Linked DNA regions of Saccharomyces cerevisiae S288C. Changing the gene in region 2 together with the main gene of any one other region gives a genetic interaction. Each region holds a gene or a part of one and is shown on either strand. Other genes may lie near its edges.

Region 1 (9,915 bases), on a different chromosome or scaffold from region 2:
AATTTTGAAGAACTGTGCTATTCATGCCGCACTGGTGATATGGACAATGTTGATAGATTGATTTCCACGGGAGTAAATGTGAATAGTGTTGACAAGTTTGACAATTCGCCACTTTTTCTGGCTAGCCTTTGCGGGCATGAAGCAGTCGTGAAACTTCTTCTACAGAGAGGAGCCGTCTGTGATAGAGACAGATATGAAGGAGCTCGATGTATTTATGGAGCATTGACCGATACTATCAGAGATACCCTTTTAAGTTATGATATATCCAAGGCTGTAGATGTCAAGCAACCCTTTGCTACTCATATCTCATCGATGTATAATGACGAAGGCTTCCTTAAAAGAGATATCACATTCAGAGTTTCGAATGGAAAACTGTTCACAGCGCATAAGTTCTTATTATGTGCAAGGAGCGAAATTCTAGCAGAAAAAATGGTGAATGAGTGGGCAAAGCATGAAATTGTTTCTCTTGAAGTGCGCCCAGATATATTTGACATATTTTTGAAATTTCTTTACTTAATTCCGATCCTGCACCAAATTGAACCGGGACAATATGAAGAACTTATAGAGCTATCTAGTAAATTTGATATTGAGTTATTGCCCGAATTTTTAGACAAAGCAAGGCATACCGCCGATCCTACGGAAAAGTCGAGGTTAATGTCAGATTACCAATATAAGTTTACCGAGGTTGCAAGAAGTCAACTTTTAATATTTGTGAACAATTGTATCTTTAGATCTACTGTTGATCTTGCTAATAGTGAACGACGAGTTTTTTCCTTGATGAACTGTCCAGCTTATCCGGATGTTCAACTTATGGTAAAAAACCGAAATGGAGCCATTCGAATATACCCTTGTCACCTGGCTGTTTTGAGCCGCGCAGAATATTTCAAGGTGATGTTCACAAACAACTTCAAGGAGAAAGTTACATATATCAAAGCCAAGCACGTTACAGGAAAGTATAATAGTATCATTCCACAGCTGACATTACCCAATTGTGAGTTTGAGGTTGCCGAAATTATTCTCCGCTACTTATATGCAGATAATACAGACATTCCTTGGATGTATGCCGTCGATGTTTTGTTACTTGCCGATATACTTTTAGAAGACCGCTTAAAAACTATCGCTTCTACAATTATAACACAATCAAAAGAGTTTATTCAGCAATACAATGTTTTTGACGTACTCTATTTATCATGGGAAATAGGAGTGGAACGCTTAGAACAATTTGCAGCTAAATTTATAGCTATACATTTGCAAGAGTTATATAAAGATCCAGAGATTAAAAGGGCAATTATGTTGAGTTCACAACGAATTTCTCTCCGCCAGGAAACTGATACTATTGAACTAGTGGATGACATTAGGTACTATTTGCTCCGAAAATATTCTTTTGAACCGGATGATGTGGAGCTGTTCGAAAACCAAGACGATTTAGAATACCTAAAACAAGTAGGGTATTTGGAGTACAGAAAAGATATGGGTATGTTAGATAATATCCTAGCTGATCTGGAACTTGATGTATAATTCCGCATTCAATAACCTTATGTATTTTTACGCGTCACTGCGAACGGATGAATATTGCCAATGACTGCTGCGCACTCTTAAAAAATATAATGACAATTATAATAAGAAGTATGATACTTTTTCTGTAAAAAATATATATACATATGATTCACGTGAAAATTTTTATATTTTTAATTAAATTTTTATAATATTATAAATTATTATAATATTGATATTTAAAATTAAAAACAAATTATTAATGGTTTTGTTTTCCGAAATGTTTTTTATAATTATTACTTCAGAATAGTTATTTTCACGAATACGAGATACAGGGTAATGAAAACAGGTGTTATCCAAAAAAAAAAATTGATATATTTTAGATACTTTACATACAGAGGCAAGCTTCAGCTGTAGCCAGGTACATAATATTCCCTATAAAGTGATCAATATTTTTTAACGAAAAATTAAAAAAAAAAATCCTTGAATAAAGGAATGAAAATATTGTAACAAGCGATGACATTTCTTTTTTTGATTGTAGTTGTGGCATTTTATATTTGCTTTTGCATTTACCCTATTCTTGAAGGTTTGGATAGACAAGCGAGATAACACCAGTTGTCCTTCAACTTATTCAAAGCAGCAGCTCACTTAATTATTATTAAGTATACACATGAAAGCCTTGTGTTTATTTCGAATCTTTTTCTTGGGTAGAACTTTTAACGTTGTCAGACGGCATGACAACAGGTTTTTGGGAAGTAGATCTAATATTTTTTGTAGAGTCTTTGGCACTGTTGAAGTGTTTTTTTTGGAAGGTTCTATTCTTGTTATTGTAAGGACTCCTATAATAATTGTTCTTATTATATCCGAAATTTTGATTTGGAGACTGATTTGGAGGGTACGGTGGGTAATAAGGGAAGGTATCGGGATTGGGGTAGGCCATTAAGGGATAATTCCATTGCCATTGTTGGAAATACTGGTTTTGCGAGTTGTAATGCCTATTAAATCCTGGAATGTTAGTTCTTTTTCTGGAGACAGCAATTTTTTTGCCTTTAAGTTCTCCTCCATTTAATTGCAGGGCTTTTTCTCTGTATGCCGGACTTTCAAATTCAATATAGCCGTAGCCTTTTGGTGTTCCCGTATTCCTATCATAAAGAAGTGTTATTCTTTTTATCTGGCCACAGTCTTTGAAATGATCTTCTATTTGCTCTGGGGTGACATCCGGAGTGATGTTACCGACAAAGATAGAACGCGAGTCAGCTTCAAGTTGATGAGCGTGTTTTTCCTCCTTGCTTAGCTTTTGCGACACCTGTGGAGTGCCCTCGATAGATAGTTTACCCACAAGTTCATCCAGCTCGAGCTCTTGCTTGTCGTTCTTTTTATTGTTCGAAATTTCAGTCTTTAAGGTTGCCTTAGCATCCACTTTCTCTTCCTGGGACATAACAGCAATTGCAAATGATGACACTATGTGACAGCAGATATATGTTTATGTTAATAGGCCTGGTTGGAGAGCGAAAGTTGAGATTACTTACTTAATCAAAATTAAATTTGAAATTTGCTGCATTTTAAGGTTACTTTTCGGAGTGTAGGAAATTGTTGCGGTTTTTTTTCACCTAACGAATGATTGATAATCTTTTTCATATCCTCCAAGAAACAAGCTGTTTATTATGGTGATTGCCACAAATTGAAGCGCTATGCTTAGTGCTTCATGACAGAAAGGTTTTGCATTGGTAGGCGTGGAAGATTACAGATTGTACTCGTCGTTGGCTCAATTTTTATATTTTGTTGCTTCAAAAACAGTGCCGTATCCTTAATGAATGAAAAATTCTAAAGAAAATAAGTTGATACTAAAAATATAATGTCCTTGAAGTATTTATGCGATATATAGAAAAATCTATAAATACTTAAATATTACAGCAGCGTTATTTTTGTATAGACGCCGACGTATAAGAGTCTCCTATCAAAAATCAGAATCTGAGCCCAGTATGTCATCTAATTCTGCGTTCGATAAGGTAAAAGATTGGGATGAATCATGGTTGACACTGTTGTTATCGACTTGACTTTTATCGTTAACTTTTACAAATTTTTTTTCGTCTCGTAACATGCCTCTCGCCAAACATTTAGTATAGTTCATATCAATTGTCCTCTTCTTATTATCATTACTCTCGTCGTTAAATAACGTAATGATTTTTGAAACTTTGTGACAATGCGGAACTTTTACCCCTTTGGTGTATTGTACAAAATTGGGCTCCACATCGAAGGAAACACCTTCTGGGATATAGCGGTTTCTGAAAAAATTCCAATCGTCCAAACTCAATACCATGTTATTCTTGTCAACAGTACAGCTCTTTTCTTTTTCAAGGTTGTGTTGATTTCCTCGGATGTCTTTCACATTTTTCTCGATTTTAGTTGGAAGACCACAATCATTCACAAATAAAGCCATATTAGGGCGTTCAAAATTATGAAGTGGCTTGAGTGTGGTAAGACTTTCGCCAGTGCGAATAATGGCAGTTTCCAAATCTTTTTGGCATCCATTCTGCCCTTCCGCAATGAAAACATTATTATCATCACTGACTTCTTCATCTTCAGTTTCTAATGAGGAGGAAGCTTCCTCGGTTGAATCATTCTCCAGATTATCCAAAGCTTTAAAAATCTTCCGCTTCTTACTTGGGTTTTCATTACTCGTTACTAGTTGTTTCCCGCCACTTTCATTCACCAAGAACTTATTAATTAAAGTGCTTGCACTAACAATACTGGTCTCAACATTATCAGGCATAAAGAACTTCTTCGGTTTTTTATTTTCCTGAACTCTCTTCTTCTTTGTTATGGCTTTTTTTGGCTTCACCTTTTTGCCCATCATACACTGAGTCGCATAACGAATAACTTCGTCAACATCTTCCATTTCATTAATTATTTCGTTTTCATCATTAATCGTGATCAATGTCTCGTGACATTCCGGAATAATGTCTTCAGGGATTATCCGATCTGATTTTTTATAGTCAATGCATTGCTTGGATATAAGCGCTTGCAGGGTTGAATAGTCTTCCATAGCACGCTCGAATTTGTATGATTCATTACTGCTAAACAGTAGTACTATCTTACCATCTCGTTTTCTGCCTGTTCTACCCATACGCTGAATATTTTTGATTGGACTACTTGTAGTATCATAACAGATTATTAAATCAACTTCTCCGATATCCAAACCTTCTTCTCCAATTGATGTACAAACGAGAACATTATATTCACCCTTTTTGAAATTATGGATAACCTCTTTTTGCATTTTTTGGTTCATTCCGCTAATCTGAGCCTCTTCAGAGCTCCCCGTTCGTCTGGCACTTCTTTCAAGTTTATCATTCGCCGCTCTCTTAGTTCGTTCAGCTTCCAAAAATTTCTCTTGCTCTTGCCTATGCAATCTCTCTACCTTCTTCCTTCCCTTTGGCGCATGTTTTCTTGTGTATTTGACCTCATCAAAACCTTCTTTTGCACGAGCTTGTCCAATAAAAATATGAGGCCTGATTTGATCGTCAGCTACCGAGTCTATGAACTTCACAATTTCAAGTGCGCTTTCTCTTAATTCTGTAAAAATAATAACCCTCGAGTCGGAACCCCTTTTCTGAAAAAAGTCCATTAGTTCATCTCTAACACATTGTAACTTCCCATGACCGACAAACTTTGGATCACTTAAATAATTTTCGCATTGATTTTTGATGTTTTTCAAAATCGGATGGTAATAAAACTCAGCTGCAATTTTATTAGTAGATTTTTTAAGATTATATTTCGTAGTGAATTCTGTACATTTATTCTGGAAGTAATTGAAAAATGTCCTTATTCCATAAATTTTTAATCTCTTTAGCATTTGACCCACATTGTTCAATAACTGTAAAATAAAGAAGTTCCTCCACTTAATTCCTTCAGGTATAGTAGGGTTAGCAATAATTTTTTGGCTTTGTTGCATGGCTTTGAAGGCGTTTATTTGTGAAGGGTCACATTCCTCATATATACCGAGTTCAATTGCCTGTTGAAGCACTGGTTTGACGGCCATACCTAATTGTTCGATTATGTCTTCAATTTCCAACAAAAGGGGCACTTCAATTTTTTCCTTTTTTCTTTTCTTCATATATTTCACGATATCCATGCTTTCTTCAGTCCTAATTTCAATCTTGGAAATATCTAAGTTATTAACCACTTCTTGGACACCTTCCAGGTCAGAGGCTGGTGTAGCGGTCAATGCTAATAATCTGTATGATGAATTGAACCTATCTATGAATTTTACCACATTTGTATACGCAGAGGAGCCAGTAGCTCTGTGAGCTTCATCGATGACAAGACATACAATATCCTTAGGATCCAATACACCCCTCTTCAAGTCATTCTCCACTACTTGCGGTGTGGCAAAGAAAACTCTCTTATTGGCCCAAATTTCTTCTCTATTTTTCCTGCTTTTATCGAGTAATATAGCAGTTTGATCCGAAGGTATTCCTGTTATACCTAAGCATGCCTTAATTTGCTGGGCTACCAAAGGTCTTGTTGGAGCAGTAAAGATTATTTTGGCTTTTTTGGTCCAACGAAAATAATTTAACATTACTGTACTGGCAATGAACGTTTTACCCATACCCGTTGGGATGGCGCATAACGTATTTTGAAACAGTGATTTGTGAACAATTGTATACTGATAATCCCTTACCTCGTAATTTGTAGGGTACACGTAGAACGACAAAGCATCGTAATCAAGCTCATGATGAGTGGGTCCAAAACTGACATCTCTTTGAATTTCTTCGTACACAGTTTTCTGCCCAGGTAAAACGTTATCATGAAGGTCTTTTTGAACTGGTACAGCACGTCTCGTTATAGTTTCCTTCACAGATTTATTGATAGCCTTTTCATACAGTTTATCCAGCTCGTCATCTTCGAAATCACTAAAGTAATCATCTGCACTAGCCATCAGAGAGAAAAAAGGACACTAAAATAAAACAGAACCGGAATGTGTTGAATAAAACTGAAGTGAGCTACTATATCTTGAATCACAATATCTTAGCTCCGTGATAGAGCATAGGGCACCTCTATTGATCTCTTCGTGATGCCCGGTTATATACACACGTAACCCCGTAAAAGCCGTTACCCGGTTTATGTCTTTCTGTGAGCACAGTAAGCTAGGAAGGTCGATGGAGAAGAAGACTCCTGTCTCATATGGAACAACCTTGCAAATTGAGTGCAATTATCCCCTTTGGAGTTTGAATTTTGTGTTAGTACATTCTCCTTTTTTAACTTGTCTTTTCTACCACATGCACAATGAAAGCAATCTTGTTTTACCAGGCGCGAAGCAAAAGAAAAGGAGAAATATTGAGTATATTTTAATTTAAGCTTTCTGATTTAGAAAGTATCATGTTTTGTTGGTGATCTAACAGGAAATCTATTTTGACCGATTATACAATGCCATCGGAAGTTACGCCAAAAGTACCTGAGAGGCCCTCAAGGAGGAAGACATCTGAGCTGTTTCCGTTATCCGGCTCTGAATCAGGAGATATTAAAGCTAATAGCGAGCCACCAACACCAGCAGGAACGCCCAATGTACCAACACGTAGACCCATACTTAAAGCAAAGACGATGACTTCGTTTGAGAGTGGTATGGATCAAGAGAGTTTGCCCAAGGTACCATTGCAGAGGCCAGTTAGACGCTCCACTACTGAAGAACTAAATAATGTAATGAATAACACCAGTAAGGAGTTAGAGGAGATTGAAAGTTTGATTTCAAAGCACAATATACACAATGTTTCCAGGAAAAAAAGTCCAACTTCTGTGGAAGAGGGAAAGGTGGCCGCCATTCATCAAAACGGGCAAAGAAGTGCATCAGATAACAAAACTTCTACAAATCCCTCCCCACTCGAAAAAAATGAGCACGAGGGTGCTGAGGGCAATGAGTCTGCTATTTCACCTTCTAATTTAGTTAACAAGTCTAATAATGAAGTGACAGAGCATAGTGACTCCGAAGACCTTACTGAAAAGCAAAAGGTACATGCTGCCCTAGATAATGAGGCAGGGGATAGAAGCCATTTTGAAGAAAAGCTCATTCCTGGAGATATGAAAGTACAGGTAGATGTTAGTAAGGACGTAGAAGAAGGCAGCCTCAATGCTCTGCCTCCATCTGGAATCACAGAATCAGACGACAAAGCTGAAAAGTTCACTAAACATCCTGAATCTAGTTTAGAAGAGCTACAGAAGCATCAAGAACAACAGGAAGAAAAAATTTTCCAAAATCCAACCGATGAAGAAAGTACTACCTCTTTGAATGAGAAACAAGAAGGCAAGGACAACATGGAAGTGAATTCTCAGCCGCAAGGACCTTCTGATACTGAAACAGTTATAGCAGCAACTAGCTCAAACGTTCCTTCACAAATTGCAAGTGAAGAGGAAAATGACGTTCCAGTGATTCCAAGGAGTAGGCCTAAGAAGGATTTTGAAGCACACGTACAAAAAGAGGAGTTGCCTAACACACAAGAGAAGCGAGTATCAGAAGAGTGTGATTCGACCCTAATTAGTACCGAAGAGGAAAGTAAAATCCCAAAAATTCCCTCTGAAAGACCAAAGAGACGTGCCCCACCTCCGGTTCCCAAAAAACCTTCTTCAAGAATTGCGGCCTTTCAAGAAATGTTACAAAAACAACAGCAACAAGATCTGCATAATAATGGTAATTCTTCAGCTACTACCGCTTCAGCAGATATTGCTAAAAAACACACAGATTCTTCTATTACTAGCGATACCACGAAGGCAGATTTTACGAGCAAATTGAATGGACTGTTTGCGCTACCTGGTATGGTGAACCCTGGACAGCTTCCACCTTCCTTGGAGAAGAAGTTGTCCTCCCCGGATACTGAATCTAAGCTAGGACCCCAGGACCAATCACAGGCAAAAACGGGACCTCTGGGCGGAACTAGAAGAGGTAGAGGACCTCGTGGGCGTAAATTACCTTCTAAAGTAGCTAGCGTAGAGAAGATTGAAGAAGATGACAACACTAATAAAATAGAAATATTTAACAATTGGAATGTTTCCTCTTCCTTCTCTAAGGAAAAAGTCTTAATAGATACTACTCCTGGTGAGCAAGCAGAAAGGGCCTTGGATGAAAAGTCAAAGAGCATTCCCGAGGAACAACGAGAACAATCTCCAAATAAGATGGAGGCTGCTCTTTGTCCTTTTGAGCTGGACGAAAAGGAAAAGTTACCTGCTAATGCTGAGTCGGATCCTCTTTCTCAGTTGCCACAGACGAACGCCGTAGGTAATAGAAAAGCCATAAGTGAGGAATCTCTGTCCCCATCGGAGGCCATCGCCAACAGAGATCAAAACGATACGACAGAAATACAGGAACAGCAGATGGAGGACCAAATGGAGGTTGATATGGAAAGAGAACTCTCAGGTGGCTACGAAGACGTTGATTCTGCCTTACATTCAGAAGAAGCGTCTTTTCACTCCCTTTAGAATCTTATAAATAATATGTATGAATAAACTCTATAGTATGTATCAAGAGAGAAATATGTGAATGACGAGCAAACTAGAGGTGTTATTAATAATAATGGCATAAAAACTAGATTTTATTCTATATATATATATATATATTTCTTCGACTTTTTTTTTTTTTACCCGCACACCCTGAATTTTGTGCTATTTTGAAGCAGAGCGTACTGAACAAATTGGCAGATTTACAAGAGGAATAACAGAGTTATGCTAAATCATTAAGTGTTTCTTGCGGCCAGAAGGGGCATTATACAAAAGATATGGTTGTTGATACTGAGTATTACGATTTGTTAGGTGTGTCTACCACTGCATCTTCCATTGAAATAAAAAAGGCCTATAGAAAGAAATCTATTCAAGAGCATCCTGATAAGAATCCCAATGACCCCACGGCTACCGAAAGGTTTCAAGCAATATCCGAAGCTTATCAAGTTTTAGGTGACGATGATCTTCGCGCAAAGTATGATAAGTATGGAAGAAAAGAAGCTATTCCTCAGGGCGGCTTTGAAGATGCAGCTGAACAGTTCTCTGTCATCTTTGGTGGAGATGCGTTTGCCTCATATATTGGCGAACTGATGCTATTAAAGAACCTACAGAAAACTGAGGAGCTAAATGCTGAAGACGAAGCTGAAAAGGAGAAGGAGAATGTGGAAACAATGGAAGAATCACCTGCAGACGGTAAGACGAATGGCACCACTAACGCTGTTGATGCAGCATTGGGCAATACTAACGAAAAAGATGACAAAAATAAGGCGAGGACAACTTCTGGTAATTTAACTGTACACGATGGAAACAAGAAAAATGAGCAGGTAGGAGCAGAAGCTAAGAAGAAGAAGACAAAATTAGAGCAGTTTGAGGAAGAACAAGAGGTAGAAAAGCAAAAAAGAGTAGACCAATTAAGCAAAACATTGATTGAAAGAT
Region 2 (7,109 bases):
CATGTGTGTTAGATTGGGACATGGGAGCAAGTAAAGGAACATCTAATCTATGCATACCACCCGAACCAGTACTCTCGATATCGGAAATTTGGGGGGTGCTAGATCTCTTCTTTGATGGAAGGATATCAGATTTAGATATGTTGGGATCAACTTCTCTGGGTGCGCGAATATTGGTTTTAGAAACACGTTTCGAATCTTCAGTATGAGTTGACGGAGGTGTGGAATCGGTTGGACTCACAGCTTTTGAAAGGACATTTCTCGGTTGCTCAGGATGTAGTTCGATGTCAGATTGGAAGTTAAGATCATCGGATTGTTGGATCTCATTTGACGCAATGAACGATTGATATGAAGCAGTTAAACGGTTTAAGTCTTCATCGAAAGTGAGTGCGTCGTAATTGAATTGATCTAATCTGGATTCCTTGCCCTGAAGAATAACATAGTTAGTTGTATCTACTGTCTTCTTTAAGGATGGAAGATAGATGATATATCCATAAGAGTTTCGAGACGGATGTAGAGCGTAGCCTGGGATGCCACGAGGATGTATTTTGGAGTTAGGGTTGTGATCATTGACGATAACAGGTTGACCGAAAGGTAACAAAGTACTGATATCAAGTCCTGCCAAGCCAGCATGTTGTCTTGCAGATTTTTTGCTTTTAGGTGAAGCTAGTGAATTTCTCACAATAGTAGAAAATTCGATTGCAGAGAACCATAAATGGTTCGGTAAACCACTACATTGCAGTTGAGTACGGCAGTCATCTAATAAGGTACGGTTGAGCCGTTCAGCGACTCCATGTGCTCGGGAATCCGCTGTGGTTGTATAGCATGGAGTTATACCATTTTTTTCAAGGAATTTATGGAGAGTTCTGTTAGTATACTCAGAACCACGGTCCATTTGTATAACCAAGACACTGGCCTGAAACTGGTTCTTAATAAAAGCTAGTATCGTAGTAAAAACATCGAGGATAGAGTCCTCGCGACGGTCGTGTAATGGATAAACCCAACGGAATTTTGTTGTCTCATCAGTAAATGAGATGAAATAGGATGGTGCACTCTTTGGTAGGTTGTGAACTGGACCAAATATGTCAGTATGTAGGTATTGAAAGGGTTCGTATGAATTTTGGTATTTTAGTCGTGAACCTTTGATATGTCTGTGTTTGGTGCTTTTGCCGATTAAACAATCAGGACATTGATAGTCAATAGCACTAGACCAGTCGACATCTGATTCGTTAAAATACGTGATGGTGTTATTTTTAAGTGAGTATCGAATTGTCTGTGCATTGGCATGCGCAAGCATTCGATGAATGAAAGGATAAGGATATTTGCGTGTACTTTCACTTGTATGGACATTATTGATGGTGGGTACGGAGATATTTGATGGAAGCAAGTACTTTTTAGATACCCAGTAAAAGTCTCCATATTTTACGATAGGTGCAAGTACAGTGCCGTCAGATCGTTCTAAGACGTTTTTGGTAAAGCATGCTGTGATATCTACTGCAGCCAATTCATTCAAACTGAGTAAGTCATAGGCTATGTTAGGAGTGTGCAATACCTTTATTGATGTTTTGGTGTTGTCCTGGAAGTGAAATTGTAGGTCACCAATAGCGTTAATTGGTATATTTCTTTTTTGAGCATCAACTACGTTTATGTCAGGATTAGATGATGCTGAGTGTATGTGATGAGCAGATCTTATAAGGGTTCGTGATGCTCCTGAATCGAGAAGGAGGTGTCCAGGGAGTTCATCATCAGAATGATTAGTATGATTTACTGTAGATTCAGTAAGTTTCTGGCCTAAGATGAAGGTCGTGCTTATTGTTCAATTGAATCGGTTCAGTAGTTGATTTACTGATGGAATCGTTGTCCGTGCTGGGAGAGTTATTAGATGTGGATACATTGTGAGCCCTGGCTGTTTTCGATTTCGAATTATTTGTTTTTTGAGGATTCCGAGCTATAACTTTGGGTTTGGTTGTATTTGTATAGCTGCGAGAATCATTCTTCTCATCACTCGGATTTCTCCTGTAATTAGGTTTGCTGTTTCTCGATCCCTGTTGTTCTTCATAAATAGCATGGATATCTAAGAACAGTTCAGCGACTGTCATATTTAGATGTCGATGACGTGTGTAGCGTAAAAATTTATATTCGCCAGATAGACCTCTCATAATTAATTGGCATGCGACCTTGTTATTGATATGAATGCCATTATTGTTCAGTCTGTCGATAATGTTTGTGACTTTTGTTTCAAATGCATCTGCAGGTGTACTGCCATTATATTGCAAATTTGCCAGGGTCACAATGTCGTTTGCCTCTTGGGTATCAGATTGCATTTTTTCAATACTTTTGGAAAGAATTTTCATGATATCCGTATAATCAACGGATAGGATGTCTTTGACCCAGGTAGGTAGGAATTGAGATGGAGCAAATATTTGAAAAGTGTTATACAAGAAGGTGAGTTCATCATCAGTGATCTGACGTACGGGTTTTCCGTTTACTGTCGGAATAATACCACCGAGATTCGAGTTTTGTAAAAATTTGATGTATGTTTTAACCCAATTTAGAAAGTCATTAGGTGAGGTTAACATTGGTGGTGGTCTGACATATTTTTTAGTGGATGTCATATCAGAGTCCGCTGAGGATGAATCAGTAAATGTATTACCTGACTCAGGTGATGGAGTGCTCAGAGGCGTTCCAACTGATGATGGATACTGCGGAAACTGTGAATGTGGCCCAGGTGGAAAGTACATAGGCGACATTTGATAAGGTGTATACGGAATCATAGATGGGCGTCCGTAAAATGACCAATCAGATGGATTGGCTTGGTTTTGGGTCATCATGCACTGCTGTGGGTACGGCCCATTCTGTGGTGAATGTGACTGAGCAGTTTGAGGAGAGGCATGATGGGGGTTCTCTGGAACAGCTGATGAAGCAGGTGTTGTTGTCTGTTGAGAGTTAGCCTTAGTGGAAGCCTTATCATATTCTTGAATTTTGGAAGCTGAAACGTCTAACGGATCTTGATTTGTGTGGACTTCCTTAGAAGTAACCGAAGCACAGGCGCTACCATGAGAAATGGGTGAATGTTGAGATAATTGTTGGGATTCCATTGTTGATAAAGGCTATAATATTAGGTATACAGAATATACTAGAAGTTCTCCTCGAGGATTTAGGAATCCATAAAAGGAAATCTGTAATTCTACACAATTCTATAAATATTATTATCATCGTTTTATATGTTAATATTCATTGATCCTATTACATTATCAATCCTTGCGTTTCAGCTTCCACTAATTTAGATGACTATTTCTCATCATTTGCGTCATCTTCTAACACCGTATATGATAATATACTAGTAACGTAAATACTAGTTAGTAGATGATAGTTGATTTTTATTCCAACAAGTTTAATGGTCAGAATGGGCGCTTGTCGCGTGCCAGATCGGGGTTCAATTCCCCGTCGCGGAGATTTTTTGCCGCACGTTTCCGCGTCAGACGAGCTTTTTTCACGGTTCCGGTGCTTTTTGCCGGCTGCGGCCCAATCAAACACCGCCATTTCGGCCGTTCCTCAACAAAGAACCCCTTTTATAGCCAGCAGAGCACGAGTTGATCTACTATATAACTACCCCCAACTCGTTCCACTACTCATTAGTGCTACGGATTCTCCCAACACGAAACAGCCAAGCGTACCCAAAGCAAAAATCAAACCAACCTCTCAACAATGTCTCCTCCAGTTTACAGCGATATCTCCAGAAATATCAATGACCTATTGAACAAGGATTTCTATCATGCTACCCCAGCTGCCTTTGATGTGCAAACAACAACCGCCAATGGCATTAAGTTCTCATTGAAGGCTAAACAGCCTGTCAAAGACGGTCCACTGTCTACTAACGTGGAAGCAAAGTTGAATGACAAGCAAACCGGCTTGGGTCTAACTCAAGGCTGGTCTAACACAAACAACTTGCAAACCAAATTAGAGTTTGCCAACTTGACCCCTGGTCTAAAGAACGAATTGATCACTTCTTTGACTCCAGGCGTCGCCAAGTCCGCCGTCTTAAACACTACGTTCACACAACCTTTCTTCACCGCAAGAGGTGCCTTTGACTTGTGTTTGAAGTCACCAACATTTGTTGGTGACTTAACTATGGCCCACGAAGGTATTGTTGGTGGCGCAGAGTTTGGTTACGATATCAGCGCCGGTTCCATTTCTCGTTATGCCATGGCTTTAAGTTATTTCGCCAAAGACTACTCCTTGGGCGCTACATTGAACAACGAGCAAATAACTACCGTTGACTTCTTCCAAAACGTCAACGCCTTTTTACAGGTCGGTGCTAAGGCTACAATGAACTGCAAACTACCTAACTCCAATGTCAACATCGAATTCGCCACTAGATATTTGCCTGATGCATCTTCCCAAGTTAAGGCTAAGGTGTCCGATTCCGGTATTGTCACTTTGGCTTACAAGCAATTGTTAAGACCTGGCGTCACTCTGGGTGTCGGTTCCTCTTTCGATGCTTTGAAGTTGTCTGAACCTGTTCACAAGCTAGGTTGGTCTTTGTCCTTCGACGCTTGAACGTATATATCTAATATATATATGTTCACTATATACCATATATGTGCTCGTTCTTGTTTCCATTTTTCTACTTGATCTTTAGACTTGTTGTTTTATTTATACAAATATATTAATGACAGAAAATATTCTTTGTAACGGCTGGTTCTCATAATCATATTGGTTGCTTGGCAGTGAGAATAGACTCACTTCCTGACTCATCATCACTTCCTTCCGCAGCCTCTAGCTCATTCAAATACAAGCAGTGTTTAGCAAAGCCAGGGATAACGTTTCTCGGTATTTTCAGATTGGTTTCGAACATTGTGATAAACTCCAAATCTACTCCATCTTTCATCCCACCAGAAAATAACCCGTACTCTTGGCATATACCTGCAGTGGACCATCCCTGTAACAACTTTCTTATGATTCCCACAACTACACCAACACGGTGCTTGCCCTTATTGGAATGCACTAAGATGGGATAGTTTCTGACATCCAGCACCAAGTGCAAGACCTGGTTCATTCTTTCTTGAATTCCTTCATCGCGGCTTGAATCCATAAATATGTGATAGTATTTTATCTTTTCTGACTCCAGGAAGCTTTGATATTCTTCGAGAGGCCTATCTTTATCGCCAATATATATTATGGTCTTCAAGTGTAACTGATGCTTGATGAAACTATAATTTAACGGCATCGGGTATCCCGATCGATATAACGATACATCCGTGCTCACCACTGGCGAAAAATTTAATGGGGGTATGTATTTCATAGCATCAAGAAACGTGCACTCTATTGGTATTTTGCCTTCACTTGTTGATATATCAACTAGACTTTAATATCTTAAGTAAACTCTCGCTTTTTTCTGATCTTTTTTTTAATTCTGGAAAATTCAGAAGAAAAAACAAAAATTACTGAAAAATCTGGGCTAGCACCAAGAGCTATTCATGGATGAATCACTAAATGAAAAAGGGTCTTTACTTTGCATGCTACCACTCACATGAATAGTATAGGGGAACCTGGTGACAGCCTCCCTTCTCACTTTCTGCCGATTTCCAATGATCACTCTGCAGAATTCTTTCATGAAACCCTTAATATGATTTCCTAAAGCGGGAAATAGTAAACATATCATAAAACATTTGTAAAAAAAAAAAATGTATAATTAGAAATTACTAGATTTTCAATTATATTTAGCAGCTATATGGGTTAATAATTTATAATGTTTATTAATAACATACCCACACTCTTGTATTATAATCAACTAGACTCATACCTTGTCAAAAGTTCAGAAAGAAACATCGGCAGAGATGGTTAAGAAAAACTTTATCCCGTCTGTATCGCTGGTCAGAAGAGACCTTCCTACTTTAGTTACTACTACAACTAGTTCAACCGCCCTGTCAAAGCCCACGTCAAGTGTAGTGTCCGAAACGAGTTCCAAGTCCCTTCCATCGTTAACATCTTCGGCTTTCTCAACTTCCAGTGGAGCAACATCCTCCTCATCACTAATTGTCGCAAGTATAACACCCCCATCTACAGCAGGAAACCCATTTATTTTAAATGCTGCTGATAAACCAAATGGAACTGTATACATTGCTGTGGGTGCTGTCATAGGTGCCATTTTTATCAGTATTCTTATATGGTGGTTAGTGTCCAGTTATTTGTCTCGTCGTTTCACAATGACAAATTCTTATGCAAATGATAGTAAAAATTTGTACAGGGGACACCACAAGCATAGTTCTTCTTTACAAAGCAATCCCTTTGACATCAATGATGAGAAATCATATATGCAGGATGATTGGGATTCTATGAGCCAATTAGAATCTAGCCAATACGAGGATGCTGCCTCACCATTCAACCCAATTCAGGATCCGTTCACAGACAACAGAAGATCCTTATTTATATCTCCTACTTTACAAGTGTCACAATATGAAAAAAGTCATAGCCGCCATCAATCAAAAGACACTAACATTTTTATTGACGATCCATTTTTATACGTAGGTACCTATCTAGAAGAAGAAGAAGAAGAAGAAGAAGAGAGAAAGCTGAACCTCAATAGACCACAAAGAGCAGCGTCACCTGAAAGAAAGGAAAAGAAAATTAACTCAATGGAAGGCTACCATAAGAGAAACCAATCCTCCTTGGGCCTCATACCAGTCGCTTCTGCTACCTCAAATACTAGCTCTCCTAAAAAGGCTCATAAAAGACAGGCGCCATCGATGTTTTTGGATGATGTCCTGAATGGTAGAGAAATAATCTAGATACCCTGACATCTAAGATACATGGTTGTTCAGGTTAAACATTTTTTTTTTTAGTCCTTAAAAATTGTGTAATTCAGTACCAAAAAAATCGATGTTTGCTTTTATTCTTTTCAAGGCCATACGGTTCTAACGCACCAGTAATCATCAGTACATCTGCCAAGATATATCTTTATCATATTCTTGAAAGGCCCGAAAATAACCCTCCAAGAGATAAAAAATTTTTCTGAATGGTAATTGGAAAGATAAAATTCTGTTGTGATCTTTGAACTACTTTATCTGATCTGGTCGTAACCATCAACAAGGCGAATTATGCATTCTTTG
Region 3 (7,480 bases), on a different chromosome or scaffold from region 2:
TCCTGGGGCAATGTCATAACTGCCTCTATAAACGGTTCATGGAAAGCAGCAACGTTCACCCTCTTTGTTGCTCCGTCTGGAAACTCATCCGGATTTGTTATAAGCTTTTTCTTACCATCGGTAAACTCCACCAAATAAGGAACTGTGGGTTGAGTAATGATCAATTTCGAACCATACTCTTTTTCTAGTCGTTCACGAAAAACAGATGCATGTAAAGATCCTAAAAAGCCCAATCTCCAACCTTGACCCAAAGCATTGGAGGTCTCACGTTCCAAAGTAACTGACCTATCGTTGAGGACAAGTCTACTCATATCATCATCCATGGCTTTGAATTCAATCCCATCAGCCGGGAAAGCACCCACAAATACCATGGGTTTTTGTTCTTCAAATCCGGGAAGTACTTCCGTTTCATTTACTTTACTTAAATGCATTATAGTATCTCCAATTTTTGCTTCTTTAGAATCCTTCATTCCCAGCACTAGATAGCCAACCTGTCCTGTCTTTAGCGTACCTGTAGAGGTTCTGTCAGGATACATGATTCCAATATCTTTGACTTCGTATTTTTCTTTTGTCTGAGCACAAATAACCTTGTCATTTTTACGTACAGAACCATCAACAATATTCACTAGAAGAACCGCTCCTAAGTATGCGTCGTACCAAGAATCCACTAATAATGCTCTGAAGGGTTTATCAGGCCTCCCCGTTGGTGGTGGTATACGATCAATTATAGCCGGTAGTAACAGTTCCTCTACATTTAATCCTGTTTTAGCACTTACTCCGATTATATCTTCCTCGGGGAGCTCAAAGTTATTCACTATCTGATCCTTTACCTGTTTAACATCTGTAAAATTTAGATCAATTTTGTTTATTACTGGAATTAATTTCAATCCTAAACTGAAGGCTAAATAAAAATTAGCAACCGTCTGTGCTTGTATGCCTTGTGATGCATCAACCAAAAGAATTGCTCCCCCACAAGACGCATATGACCGTGAAACTTCACCTCTGAAGTCCACATGTCCTGGCGTGTCAATTAAATGTAAAAGATAGTTTTTTCCGGTCCTCTTATCTTTATAAAACATCGAACATGTTTGCGCCTTTATAGTAATACCTCTTTCTCTTTCGACTTCCAATTTATCCAAAACTTGTTTATTTCTCGCATTGGGATCGATGACATGCGTTATTTCCAGCAGTCTGTCACTTAAGGTTGACTTCCCATGGTCAACATGGGCAACTATAGAGAAATTTCTGTAATTTTCGAGAGGTATTTGCTCGATCTGTGCTTGTAACTTCTGTGCAGGGGTAGTCGTATGGTTATATCGTAAGAAATATGCGTGTCGTTTATAACACCGTATATGTCTCACTGGCCTAATTCTAAATTTCAGCATTTTTATGTGCAACTAGTTTCCCATATTCATGGCTCTTTTTCAATGGTTGCGGCTACAAATATAGGCGAGTTATACTTGCCCTCGTCTATTATTCAACTTTTTTATTTACATCAAAATAGCAACATAAACATACGGAGATGATGAGAGAAAAAAGAAGACAAAAGGTGTGTCTTAATTCAGTTAAATGAAATTAAAATTGATAGTAAATGGTTGTGAAGCACCTGATGATTATAAATTGCTAAGAACTACTATCAATACAGTTGCTTCGCTACGAAAGACGGCTATCTTAAGATTTAATAGTGAAAGATTGACAATAATATCCACTCCAAAATCATCACTCAACAGCAGTAACAACGGTACAATATTACGAGGGGATACTGGTCAGCTTTGGTGTACCATTCCTCATGATGTATTCAGATTATATACAGTTATATCAGCTCGCGAGCTCAATACAATAACAATGGAGTGTAATTGTGATTCTTTATTGAGTGTGTTTAAAAGGTATGATCGAGTAATGAACCAAGGATCTTCCTCTAATATGACTATAAAACTACAGTCAATGCCAGAATGGAATACAAATAACGGAACACTTTCAGGAGGAACAGCAGGAGGCGTAGATACAACCTCAAAACCGAACCCCATTTGTGCTCTAGGTATAACATTCGAAGAAATTGTACATACTAGCGGCCCAAATGACGCTATAGTTATGAATGGGGGAGTGGATGAGCACAATGGTTTACCAACCACAGTAGGCACAGGAAATCTACTCGCAAGCAATAAGGTTATCATGCATTCGTTCAAAGTACCTGTCAAACTATTATTCCGAGCACAAGATACGCGAATACAAGAGCCAATGATTAACTATATTCAACTGATGATGTACAAGCTGCCACCAATATCGGGCGAGTTTGGCTCCGCCTTCCACGGGTTTATTAGACGTGTTGAACGGTACAGTAATGTCAACCACATTCATTTAATGGGAGTCAAAAAAAAGGAGCATGGAAATGAAGGTGATGATGTAGAACTTAAGATAATTGTGAATGAATTAGATTGGCATTTGGAAATATGCTGGAATGGACCCTTAGACTCTGTGATACAACGCCAAGAAGGGCTCACTGACAATCCTTCCCAAAACCAGCACATCGACACAGACGGCCGGCAGGAGGAAGGATCTCTTCCGATTATCGAAGCGGATAAACCGATGTCTTCACTATATACCAATACTAGAGATCGAGAGATGGAAGAAAATATCCGCTACGATGAAGATTTATTAAGAATTGAGGATAGCTCGATCGCAGATACGCGGGGAAACATTTACACAGCTGATACTAGCGGTGATACTGAATTTAATGACATATCCGTTATGGTGGAAAAGGCTGAACAGGAAAGTTCGTCCACACATGAAGTAATCATCCGTTGCAAAGATTGGAAGGTGTGTTCCAAGTTATACGCTGCATTTGAAGAAGTTGTTTTGGCGATTTCTCACGACGAATCCTGCGTATTCCACTGTTCGTTGGATCGTGGTAGCTTGGAAGATAGCGAAGATGTGGAAAAACCAAGGGAAAGAGGACAAATCATATATTATATAGCAAGATCGAAGGGCTTGTAAACCCTACAGCGGTACATTTCTTTGCTACGTTGCTAAGGAAACTCTTTAAATCTGACATGGCTGAGAACTGCAGAGTTGCAGAGTTGCAGACTATCACATCCGTACATATGTATAAAAAAATCCGTGCTTTACATACTAACTGCTTTTCTTTTTTCCGTTCGAAAAAAAAAAATGTCGTGAGGTTGTCGGAAACCTCAGAAAAAATAGATAGAACAAAACAGCCTTACGAACGGTATGTTGCATTTTAAAGGCTACATGAACTGCACATTAAATTTGCCACTGTAATAATCTTCCATATCCCCATACAAAAACTACGCAAATATGGTACGTAATGCCTCATTAGGATTTTAAAATATGAAAAAAATGGACGTTTCAGCGAGGAATGAATAACAAGAAATAGCTAATTTGAATATATTACTGGTGTTTCATATCTATATATACCGCAGAAAAAGAAATAAAACGCAATATATCTTTAAACTGGCTCCACCCTGAGAATATGATAGGAAACTTTTTAAATTTGAGTTCTGTTACATCAAAAACGTAATTGCTTGACACAGATTTTTCGAGGGCAACAGCGTGGACTTAACATAATGTCGAGTTTAATAACAACATTTTTTGACGGAGAGTTAAAAAGGCTTTGAGAAAATAGCAGAGTGAAGTTTATTTTTAGCATCCTTGCTGATACGCCAAATAATTCAAAAATTCACTATACTAACATGGTCATTAATTTTTAATATTAATATTATTTATTTAGGCTAAAGTTCATGGTTCTCTAGCTCGTGCTGGTAAAGTCAAGTCTCAAACACCAAAGGTTGAAAAAACCGAAAAGCCAAAGAAGCCTAAGGGTCGTGCTTACAAAAGATTATTGTACACCAGAAGATTCGTTAACGTTACCTTGGTTAACGGTAAGAGAAGAATGAACCCAGGTCCATCCGTCCAATAAGAAAATTAACAGTTGTGGAAAAGGAGCTTAAAAGTAACAAGAAACAAAATAGCAGTCATGCCATCTTTACTTCAAGATAGTTTTTGACTTGTATTTGTATTTCCGTTATGCGTTTTTTACTTTAAATATAAAGCAGTATTGAAATTATGTAAGTAGTGTTAACTATAAATTATTTCTTTAGGACTTTAACTTCGCAAAATTATGCTATTCATATTATCGATTTACTTCTTTGCTGTCTTGGTGTGATGCTTTTATTAATAAGGAGGATCTTGCCGTACCTAGGGTTGGCAAACGTTTTTCTAGTTGTTTTTGAATGGGCGCTTCATAATGTGGCAATGAAAAAAAAAAAACTAGAAAAAAACTGCAATGATCTTGACGATGACATGAAGCCTCCTTTTAACAAAATCCATTGAGGTCAACAAGCATCACCAGAGACGCCTATTATAAACTTTATAAGAGAAATACCAGTTATACAATAATGTCTACTGGAAGCAGTGATAGAAAGGATGACGTCAAATTATTGGAACTGCTGAATTCTATAGATGAACAGTTTTTAGTGCCATACAAAAAGCCGGAAGACTTGCGTAAAATCTCCTCTACTACCAAACTACAAGGTTCCACCCCAACTAAGGAACTAGACAAATTAGCCTCTGTATTGAAGGCACATTGCACAAAAATAGGTATTGTTTGCAAGCCAGGAACTTTTGATAACAATCATAAAGTTGTGATTACCGAAATCCAAAATTTTAGTAGGCCATTATTCTACTTACTAAGTTTATTCCCTTTGTTTTACAATAACAAGGATTGCCCCAAATACTTTACAGACCAACTGGATGAAAGTACGCTACAATTGCTCGATGGCTTGAGAGATTTCATTGCCGAATTACAAGAAAGATTGAAAAATGACGAAAATGCATCTCTAGACAAAGAAAGGTTAACCTCAGTTGGTAAAATATTCAATGCGTGCGATTCTCTCTCTAATTGTTCCAAGGCTGGACCTTATGGGATCCTAGCAAACATCTTAAAAGATAATGTGGCCATAATGGACGATACAATGAATGAAATAAAAGAGTGGCTTGAGGAACCCGATTTTTCAGCAAACTCGGACGATATATTTTTGGATTTTGAGGATTCAGAATCCGAATCTGATTCACAGAAAGAGGAATTTGACCAGGAAAAGGTCTATGAAAATATAAAGTTGTTTTTCGATGGGTTTACGAGGAAGATAAAGCTAATCAAATTACTTGTATCAACTTTCAGGAAAACTCTGGTGTCAAAAGATTTTACTCCTAAGAGGAATCAAGCAGAAACTTTAGACAGTATACATACATATCTGAAGGAAATACAGTTACTTTTGGATGAAGTGGTATCCACTGTACAATTTGAGCCGAAGAACTTTACCAATGAGGAGGTAAAAGAAGAACAGGCTGCATTAGTTGCAGTAACTAAAAAAGTTCTTATCCAAATGAGTAAACTATATGAAGGTGATCCAAAAAGAAAGAAATGGATTGACACATGGGAGATAAAATTCAATGAATTGTTTTAGTATATTTTCTCTGAATGTTACAGTGCATGGTATATAATCAGTCTTGTTTAGAAATTCATGCTAAAACGGATACAAGAGATATCATTGTGTAGCTGCGAGATCCACGGTCACGGCAAAAACCATGTCCATTAATATAGTGGTTGGTTGGTGGGAATATGTGGGATATCCTCAACAAAATCGAACTTATATACGTCATTCTCGTTAACAAATTCAAATTTTGTAGTTGTCATAGTAACGCAAAATGAGATGCGTGGGTGTGATTCCTGCTTGTTGGTATTTTTCTTTGCCGCTGGTGAAAAATTGGAAATGCTGGTCCCTTGAAAAAATAACCAGCCTCGCCTTAACAGATATGTGCGAGTAAATATGAGTTTCTAACGTGCAATGTTTGGTGTTTGTTTATTTGTTTATGTGTTTCAGATGTTGAGTAAACATTAGCATTGGTGTAAGAACTAAGCCCCTCGATGGTTCGGTGCAGGATTCAAGGAACAAAAAAAAACTAATATGGACGGAAGTATTTGGCTTCATAGGCATTGGTCAAAGATATAAAAAGATGCAGGTATTAGGTCCTTGGATGGAGGAAAAACGTCTCACTTACCTTTCCTTGTATAATTTATAGAATGGACAACAACAATACATTACATTAAGATTATATCAGTCAAGTTTTTTCATAACATTGAAGATCTTTCACTCATTTAAGACTCAATAACATAAAAAAAATAAACCTGTCATTCCTTTGAACCTTTTTATATCCAAAAATAATAACTGTCGCTCGTTTCACAACCTACCTTTTTTAAAACCACTCTTTTTCCAATACATTGAAATTCTAATTTAAATATAAAATAATTAATAATAGAATGTCACTCCTTTACATCATTCTTCTATTCACACAATTCTTACTACTGCCAACCGATGCCTTTGATAGGTCTGCTAACACAAATATTGCTGTTTATTGGGGTCAAAACTCAGCAGGAACGCAAGAATCCTTAGCTACTTACTGTGAATCTTCTGATGCTGATATTTTCCTATTATCTTTCTTGAACCAATTTCCAACCCTTGGTTTGAACTTTGCCAACGCATGCTCTGATACTTTTTCTGATGGCTTACTTCACTGCACCCAGATTGCTGAAGATATTGAAACTTGCCAGTCCCTAGGAAAGAAAGTTCTATTATCATTAGGTGGTGCATCTGGTAGCTACCTCTTTTCAGATGATTCTCAAGCGGAAACTTTTGCACAAACTTTATGGGATACTTTCGGTGAAGGTACAGGTGCCAGTGAGAGACCATTTGACTCAGCAGTCGTTGATGGTTTTGATTTTGATATTGAAAACAACAACGAAGTAGGCTATAGTGCGTTAGCTACCAAGTTAAGAACTTTGTTTGCCGAAGGTACAAAGCAATATTACCTTTCTGCCGCACCACAATGTCCATACCCGGATGCTTCTGTTGGTGACTTGTTGGAAAATGCAGACATTGATTTTGCGTTCATCCAATTTTACAATAATTACTGCAGTGTGAGTGGTCAATTCAATTGGGATACTTGGTTAACCTATGCTCAAACTGTATCCCCAAATAAAAATATCAAACTGTTCTTAGGTTTACCTGGTTCTGCTTCTGCTGCTGGCTCTGGTTATATTTCTGACACTTCTTTATTGGAATCAACTATTGCAGATATTGCCTCTTCAAGTTCTTTTGGTGGTATTGCGTTATGGGATGCATCTCAAGCCTTTTCCAACGAGCTAAATGGTGAACCATATGTTGAGATTTTGAAGAATTTGCTAACAAGTGCTAGCCAGACCGCCACTACTACAGTTGCCACCTCAAAAACCTCAGCAGCCTCAACTTCATCTGCTTCAACTTCATCTGCTTCAACTTCTCAGAAAAAGACCACACAATCTACGACATCTACACAAAGTAAAAGCAAAGTTACTTTATCTCCAACTGCAAGCAGCGCTATCAAAACATCAATTACTCAAACTACAAAAACATTGACGAGTAGC
Region 4 (7,148 bases), on a different chromosome or scaffold from region 2:
ATAATTATCTTTTGAAAATTTTTGGAATAACTGAAAAATTTTGAAAACTTTCGAGCTTTGAAGAAAAAACGATGCCCATCACTAATAGAAGTCCCTTGAAACAGTTTTTGCTAAGAACAGGCCTAAGGATCATAATATAGAAATAAAATGTCGACTGCTAGGCCTAGAATAATCACTTCGAAGGCTCCATTATTGCCTCAACAGACTACCCCGGAGCAGCGTTACTGGCGTCAATACACTTCCGCACAACTGGTTAAAGAACATAATAGCGTTACTCACATATCATTCAATCCTCAACATCCTCATGATTTTGCAGTAACTTCCTCAACCAGAGTTCAAATATTTTCTTCAAGAACTAGGCAAGTGATCAAGACCTTTTCAAGATTTAAAGATGTTGTCTATTCTGCATCCTTTAGGAGTGATGGTAAATTGCTTTGTGCCGGTGATGCTACCGGTTTAGTGTCTGTATACGACAGTTATAATCCCAGGACTATCCTTTTATCTATAAACGCTTCCACACATCCCACACATGTTACGAAATTCCATACGCAAGATAACAAAATTCTGGCTACGGCGAGTGACGATAGAGTGACAAGACTTTGGGATATATCCAACGCATATGAGCCACAATTAGAGCTCACCGGAGCTACTGACTATGTTCGTACCTTATCATTTATCCCAGCAGCCCCACATTTGGTTGCAACAGGCTCATACGACGGTTTGATCAGATTATATGACACAAGATCTAGCGGATCCACGCCAATTTATTCTCTGAATCATGACCAACCTGTTGAAAATGTTATTGCAGTATCTCCAACCCAAATTGTTTCTTGCGGTGGCAATAATTTCAAAGTGTGGGACTTGACCAGTAACAAGAAATTATACGAACGTGGCAATTTCAATAAGGCTGTGACATGCTTGGACTATGTTGAAAATTTTGATTCTCCAATGCAATCGGCGTTGATCGCTTCTTCCTTAGATGGTCATGTCAAAGTCTTTGATCCTTTAGACAATTTCCAAGTCAAATTTGGCTGGAAATTTTCGGGTCCCGTACTAAGTTGTGCTGTCTCCCCTAGTACCGCACAAGGGAATAGGCATTTAGTAGCAGGTTTATCATCAGGACTACTAGCCATTAGAACTAAAAAGAAAGAGAAACGTTCTTCCGATAAAGAAAACGCACCCGCCAGTTTTAATAAGAATGCGAAAAGTAATAACTTCCAGAGAATGATGCGAGGCTCGGAATACCAAGGTGATCAAGAGCATATAATCCACAATGATAAGGTAAGATCTCAACGTCGTATGCGTGCATTCGAAAGGAACATAAATCAGTTTAAATGGAGCGAAGCACTCGACAATGCCTTTGTACCAGGTATGGCCAAAGAGTTGACACTTACTGTTCTTCAAGAACTACGCAAACGTGGCAAAGTTCGTGTAGCGCTATATGGTAGAGATGAATCTACATTAGAGCCGCTACTGAATTGGTGCTTAAAAGGTATTGAAGATGTGAGATCAGCATCTATTGTAGCGGATTGGGTCGCCGTGGTTTTAGAATTATATGGGAATACGTTAGAAAGCTCTCCAGTTCTTCAAGAATTGATGATAGATTTGAAAACTAAAGTTAGACATGAAATTCATAAGTCTAAAGAAGCTCAAAGAATTGAAGGTATGCTTCAACTTTTAACGAGTTAAGGAAATATTAGCATATAGATTTTAATTTGTATCTATTTTATAGATATTCAGGCATACATATATATCTCTTTCTCATTGTAATCGAAAAAAATAATATCTTCTCTTTTTATTGAAAAAAGGAACCTGTATAAATTTCATTTTAGAGTGCTTTGCATTTTGATACGTTTTCGCGTTTAACTACCTTCGAGGGCTTGAAAACAAAACATTGTGAGATGAGATGCTATCAACAGAAAGCTGACTGTGAGTCCCCAGAAGTCCATGTCGCTTGATGCCTTCTTTCAATCCTGTTAGATTCTTAGAGTTACCAATTGACATTAGAAAAGAAGTTTACTTCCATTTAGATGGTAATTTTTGCGGAGCACATCCCTACCCAATAGATATATTATACAAATCTAATGATGTGGAGCTTCCAGGAAAACCAAGTTATAAAAGGTCTAAGAGATCTAAGAAATTATTGAGATACATGTATCCTGTTTTTGCCACGTATTTGAACATTTTCGAATACTCTCCGCAACTCATTGAAAAATGGCTTGAGTATGCATTTTGGTTGCGCTATGATTGCCTGGTTTTGGACTGTTTCAAAGTAAACCATCTTTATGACGGAACGCTTATAGATGCATTAGAATGGACGTACCTTGATAATGAACTTCGACTGGCCTACTTCAATAAGGCCAGTATGTTAGAAGTTTGGTATACTTTTAAAGAGTACAAGAAGTGGGTGATAGACAGTGTTGCTTTTGACGAGCTTGACTTACTTAATGTAAGTAATATTCAATTCAACATTGATAATCTAACTCCACAACTAGTAGACAAATGCTTATCAATTTTAGAACAGAAAGATTTATTCGCAACAATCGGGGAGGTACAATTTGGACAAGATGAAGAAGTAGGAGAAGAGAAAGATGTTGATGTTAGTGGAGCTAATTCTGACGAAAACTCCTCACCTAGCTCCACAATTAAAAACAAGAAAAGGTCAGCATCCAAAAGATCACATTCAGATAATGGCAATGTGGGAGCAACGCACAACCAACTAACAAGTATTTCTGTTATAAGAACAATAAGAAGTATGGAATCCATGAAGAGCCTGCGGAAGATCACTGTGAGAGGAGAGAAATTATATGAGTTGCTAATAAATTTTCATGGGTTCAGAGACAATCCTGGTAAAACGATTAGTTACATAGTGAAACGTAGGATAAATGAAATACGCCTATCACGCATGAATCAAATTTCCAGAACCGGACTAGCTGACTTTACAAGATGGGACAACTTGCAAAAGCTTGTATTAAGTAGAGTAGCTTACATCGACCTGAATAGCATTGTCTTTCCCAAAAATTTTAAATCTCTGACAATGAAACGTGTAAGTAAAATCAAGTGGTGGAACATCGAGGAAAATATACTAAAGGAACTAAAAGTCGATAAGAGAACTTTTAAATCGTTGTACATAAAGGAAGATGATAGTAAATTCACAAAATTTTTTAATTTACGACACACAAGAATAAAAGAGCTTGACAAAAGTGAAATTAATCAAATAACATACCTTCGATGTCAAGCAATAGTTTGGCTATCTTTTCGGACTTTGAACCATATCAAGCTACAAAATGTATCTGAAGTTTTTAACAATATCATCGTACCTAGAGCATTGTTCGATAGTAAACGAGTAGAGATTTATCGATGTGAAAAAATCTCTCAGGTTTTGGTAATATAAAAATGTGGAAAACCGGCGGTATTTTAATTAGAAACAAACTGTCTGATAAACCAATCATGAAATCTTGTATCACTGTCAGCAAGCTCTGGATGAAAAGAAGTCACAAGGATATTATGATTTTGCGTTGCAGCTACAACCACATCCTTTCCATTCACTGGCAATTCATATAAACTTTTAACCGCGATAGGATCAAGAATTCTCTCGATCACGGGTGCGCGAATAAATGTAGCAGGAAAATTATCACAGCCAGGTATGAAATTGGAAAAATCACACTTTTGTGTAAAAGATTGAGCTTGTCTTCCAAATGCGTTTCTTCTCACGTCGACCTTCAACACACCTAAAGTCTTTACTAGGGCACTTTCGTTTTCTAATTGCGCGCTTAAAAAGATGAGACCAGCACAAGTACCCCAAACTACCTTTTCCGGATTATGAACAAATTCGTATAAACAAGGATATAAGCCTGTTCTTTGAGCGATGAGGGACATCGACGTAGATTCTCCTCCGGGAATAATTAAGGCGTCGCACTGGGCTAGATCCTCAGGAGTTTTTACAGTTTTGATTTCTATCTTTATTCCGTAGTCGTTTTCAGCCAAACACCTTTTTAAATGGTTGGTATGCTCCAAAAAGGCACCTTGCAACGCCAAAACCCCAATTACTTTCATCGACTTTCCGGACATTGTACTGTGGGTTTTGTGCATACTTTAAGATATGGTTTTTCTTTCTATTTAACGAAATGAAATAATAAGAAAAAAAAACCTGGTGGCATCAACGTGATTTTTGGAAGAAAGAATAAAACATTCAAAGAGTTCGTGACCAGTTATTGCTGATAAATGCCGTTTACTGACTCAGTTGGAATTTATGGCACTAGTTGGAATAGCTCATCATGACATAATGACTCAGCCGACAAGGGTAAGGGTTGAAAGCCGGGCTTTTTCACTACTTTTCAGGTAGCGCCGCCATTTCTTCATGACTCTGACACACTCTGCCGCACCGTTAGTTACGTCTGTAATTCTGGCTGCGAAGTACCATTTTCGATATAAATAGGAGGACGCTGAGAGCTATGGACGAAGTCTATGGTATTGTTGGAGAAACCTTTAGGAACGACTAGCAAATATACACAGTACTAATATTCAGTTAATTATCACGATGACTGGAGAAGACTTTAAGATCAAGAGTGGTCTCGCCCAAATGTTAAAAGGTGGCGTTATTATGGATGTTGTTACTCCAGAGCAGGCAAAAATAGCTGAAAAATCTGGTGCATGTGCGGTAATGGCATTAGAATCCATCCCAGCAGATATGCGTAAGTCAGGAAAGGTTTGCCGCATGTCAGATCCGAAGATGATTAAGGACATCATGAACTCCGTTTCCATTCCCGTCATGGCTAAGGTAAGGATTGGCCATTTTGTTGAAGCTCAAATTATTGAGGCATTGGAAGTTGACTATATTGACGAAAGTGAAGTCTTGACTCCTGCTGATTGGACTCACCACATTGAAAAGGACAAATTCAAAGTTCCATTTGTTTGTGGCGCTAAAGACTTAGGTGAAGCTTTGAGAAGAATTAATGAAGGCGCCGCTATGATTCGTACCAAGGGTGAAGCTGGAACGGGCGATGTCTCTGAAGCCGTCAAGCATATAAGGAGAATTACAGAGGAGATAAAGGCGTGCCAACAATTGAAGAGCGAAGATGACATTGCAAAAGTTGCTGAGGAAATGAGGGTACCAGTTTCTTTGCTGAAAGATGTTTTAGAAAAAGGTAAGTTGCCAGTAGTAAATTTTGCTGCAGGTGGTGTAGCAACGCCAGCCGATGCCGCATTGTTAATGCAGTTGGGTTGTGATGGTGTGTTTGTTGGCTCAGGAATTTTTAAATCATCTAATCCTGTAAGGTTGGCCACTGCAGTAGTAGAGGCTACCACTCACTTTGACAATCCCAGCAAATTGTTGGAAGTATCTAGTGACTTAGGAGAGTTAATGGGTGGTGTATCAATCGAATCTATTAGTCATGCTTCCAATGGAGTAAGACTTTCCGAAATTGGGTGGTGATTTCTTTGAACAGGTATTTTGAGCATTATAACACTTTTTCCCCCCTCAACTTTGTATTACTCGGTACACATTGTAAAATGATCTAATTATTAGATAAGCTTATGTATGCTGGATATTATTTACTAGAATACTTGATTGGGGTTCCCTTTTAGTTTGTTAGACAATCCCTCATACGAAAGATCTCCTAACTTTTCCAATTGATCATTTACATAGTTTTTATAAGAAAACTCGTCATTATTCAACAGTACCTCAGGGTCAAATATGATACCCTTTCCATGCAACCTCCATTTGTTAGTCCACTCGATAGCCGTTGATTTTTCATTTTGGCTTTTATTCACTTGAAGCCTTCTTAAAACATCATATATATCATTTGTGGGAGAATTGGTGCTTCCAGGGTAAAGCTCTGTTCTTCCATCGTTCAAATTTTGCAAGTTCATTAGGTATAAAAGGTAATCCGCTTGAAATATTGGATCTACAAGGTTATTTTTAACACTACCACACAACGCCAGTCCTAGCATTCTATTATGATCTGAAACGCGACCGGGAACACCGATTCCTGGAGTATCTATCAAGTATATTTCATTTCTTGATTCCGTATTCCGTGAAGTTACTCTAATAACCTCGCTTGTGGCTCTAGTAACACCAGCTTCTGCACCAGTTTTGGCTACTTTCTTAAATTTTCTTCCCATATTCACTTGATTGTGAAAAATTGTCCTCAAGCTATTTATTAAAGTAGATTTTCCAACATTTGGCATGCCAGTAATCAATGCTCGGTATCCCATAGGTAGATATCCGCCATTTGTTTCTAGTTCGTAATTTTGCCATTCTAGTATTTTTAGTAGATTCCTGACGTCAGTTTTGTTTCGGCAATCCAGTAAAATAAACTTTTCTCCCAGCTCTTCATGCCAATTCTTTAACTTTCCTATATATGGCTTATTGCCGGGCATAAGATCCTTTCTAGTGTATACCACTAATTTCATCACATCGTGTTCCTTTCTTGCTATTCGATCGAAAACCACATTCCTTGTAGATAACGGGGCACGTATATCACGTAGTTCTATTATCATATTCATTTGAGGAAGCAACTTTTCAAATGTTTTAAGAGCTTTGACTTGGTGTCCCTTGAAATCAGTGAGAGGCATACTGTACTTTGGAAATTCATATCTTGGTGTGAAGGATGAAACGTTGGAAATTATTTTCCTAGTTCCTCTCACATTTATGTGCATTTCTGTATTTGATTTGGCTTTTTTGCATTCAGGTCTGAGTAATGAGCATTATCATTCGTTCTTTCTTCTCCTAATAACTAAACCAAATTGTTTCGAAAAGACAAAAATTGTGTACTTTTGACATGATGGTCCGTGTTCTTTGATCTGCGGCAAAATGAACCTACCATGTGGCAGAATTAAATATTTGATTCAAATATAAATAAGGCGAACGACGAGAGATTAAGATATTATATACAGGTAATACTATTGATTGTTTGTTCCACGGACTAGGAATTCTTCCAATGTGGAATTCTCCATTCCAGCGGTTTTTAATAACGCTTTAATGGAGTTGCATAACTCCGGAGTTACGTTAACATTTAAACGTCTGATCCATAGCAAATGACCATTATTTACGATTTTCGATATAACGTGACTATCACCGCTTTGATTGATAACATTTATAAATTCATTCCAGGGCCTTTTGTCCTGACCTTCCCCTTCCGTTGGTG

What was found.
Region 1: mutations in OCA2 (region 2) and MPH1 together harm fitness more than expected from each alone (negative genetic interaction), as found in Saccharomyces cerevisiae (2 studies listed by BioGRID).
Region 3: mutations in OCA2 (region 2) and RPS30A together harm fitness more than expected from each alone (negative genetic interaction), as found in Saccharomyces cerevisiae (2 studies listed by BioGRID).
Region 4: mutations in OCA2 (region 2) and SNO1 together harm fitness more than expected from each alone (negative genetic interaction), as found in Saccharomyces cerevisiae (2 studies listed by BioGRID).

Annotation. Positions count from the first base shown.
Region 1 is NC_001141.2:353,964-363,878, forward strand, and holds MPH1 (3'-5' DNA helicase), read right to left. Parts: upstream 6,434-9,915; coding exon 3,452-6,433; downstream 1-3,451. Other genes in the region: YIL001W (uncharacterized protein), read left to right, coding at 1-1,518; SGN1 (Sgn1p), read right to left, coding at 2,180-2,932; AIM21 (Aim21p), read left to right, coding at 6,922-8,961; DJP1 (Djp1p), read left to right, coding at 9,258-9,915. UniProt on the Saccharomyces cerevisiae protein: ATP-dependent DNA helicase involved in DNA damage repair by homologous recombination and in genome maintenance. Capable of unwinding D-loops. Plays a role in limiting crossover recombinants during mitotic DNA double-strand break (DSB) repair.
Region 2 is NC_001146.8:515,442-522,550, reverse strand, and holds OCA2 (Oca2p), read right to left. Parts: upstream 5,303-7,109; coding exon 4,709-5,302; downstream 1-4,708. Other genes in the region: YNL054W-A (gag protein), read right to left, coding at 1,773-3,095; porin POR1, read left to right, coding at 3,706-4,557; YNL058C (uncharacterized protein), read left to right, coding at 5,838-6,788. UniProt on the Saccharomyces cerevisiae protein: Required for normal growth in the presence of linoleic acid hydroperoxide (LoaOOH).
Region 3 is NC_001144.5:708,994-716,473, reverse strand, and holds RPS30A (40S ribosomal protein eS30 RPS30A), read left to right. Parts: upstream 1-3,315; coding exon 3,316-3,318; intron 3,319-3,748; coding exon 3,749-3,937; downstream 3,938-7,480. Other genes in the region: GTPase GUF1, read right to left, coding at 1-1,385; MEC3 (Mec3p), read left to right, coding at 1,570-2,994; YLR287C (uncharacterized protein), read left to right, coding at 4,416-5,483; CTS1 (chitinase), read left to right, coding at 6,338-7,480.
Region 4 is NC_001145.3:453,868-461,015, forward strand, and holds SNO1 (putative pyridoxal 5'-phosphate synthase), read right to left. Parts: upstream 4,093-7,148; coding exon 3,418-4,092; downstream 1-3,417. Other genes in the region: snoRNA-binding rRNA-processing protein UTP15, read left to right, coding at 148-1,689; CTF13 (Ctf13p), read left to right, coding at 1,958-3,394; pyridoxine biosynthesis protein SNZ1, read left to right, coding at 4,541-5,434; putative GTPase MTG1, read right to left, coding at 5,557-6,660; ATP25 (Atp25p), read right to left, coding at 6,904-7,148. UniProt on the Saccharomyces cerevisiae protein: Catalyzes the hydrolysis of glutamine to glutamate and ammonia as part of the biosynthesis of pyridoxal 5'-phosphate. The resulting ammonia molecule is channeled to the active site of a SNZ isoform.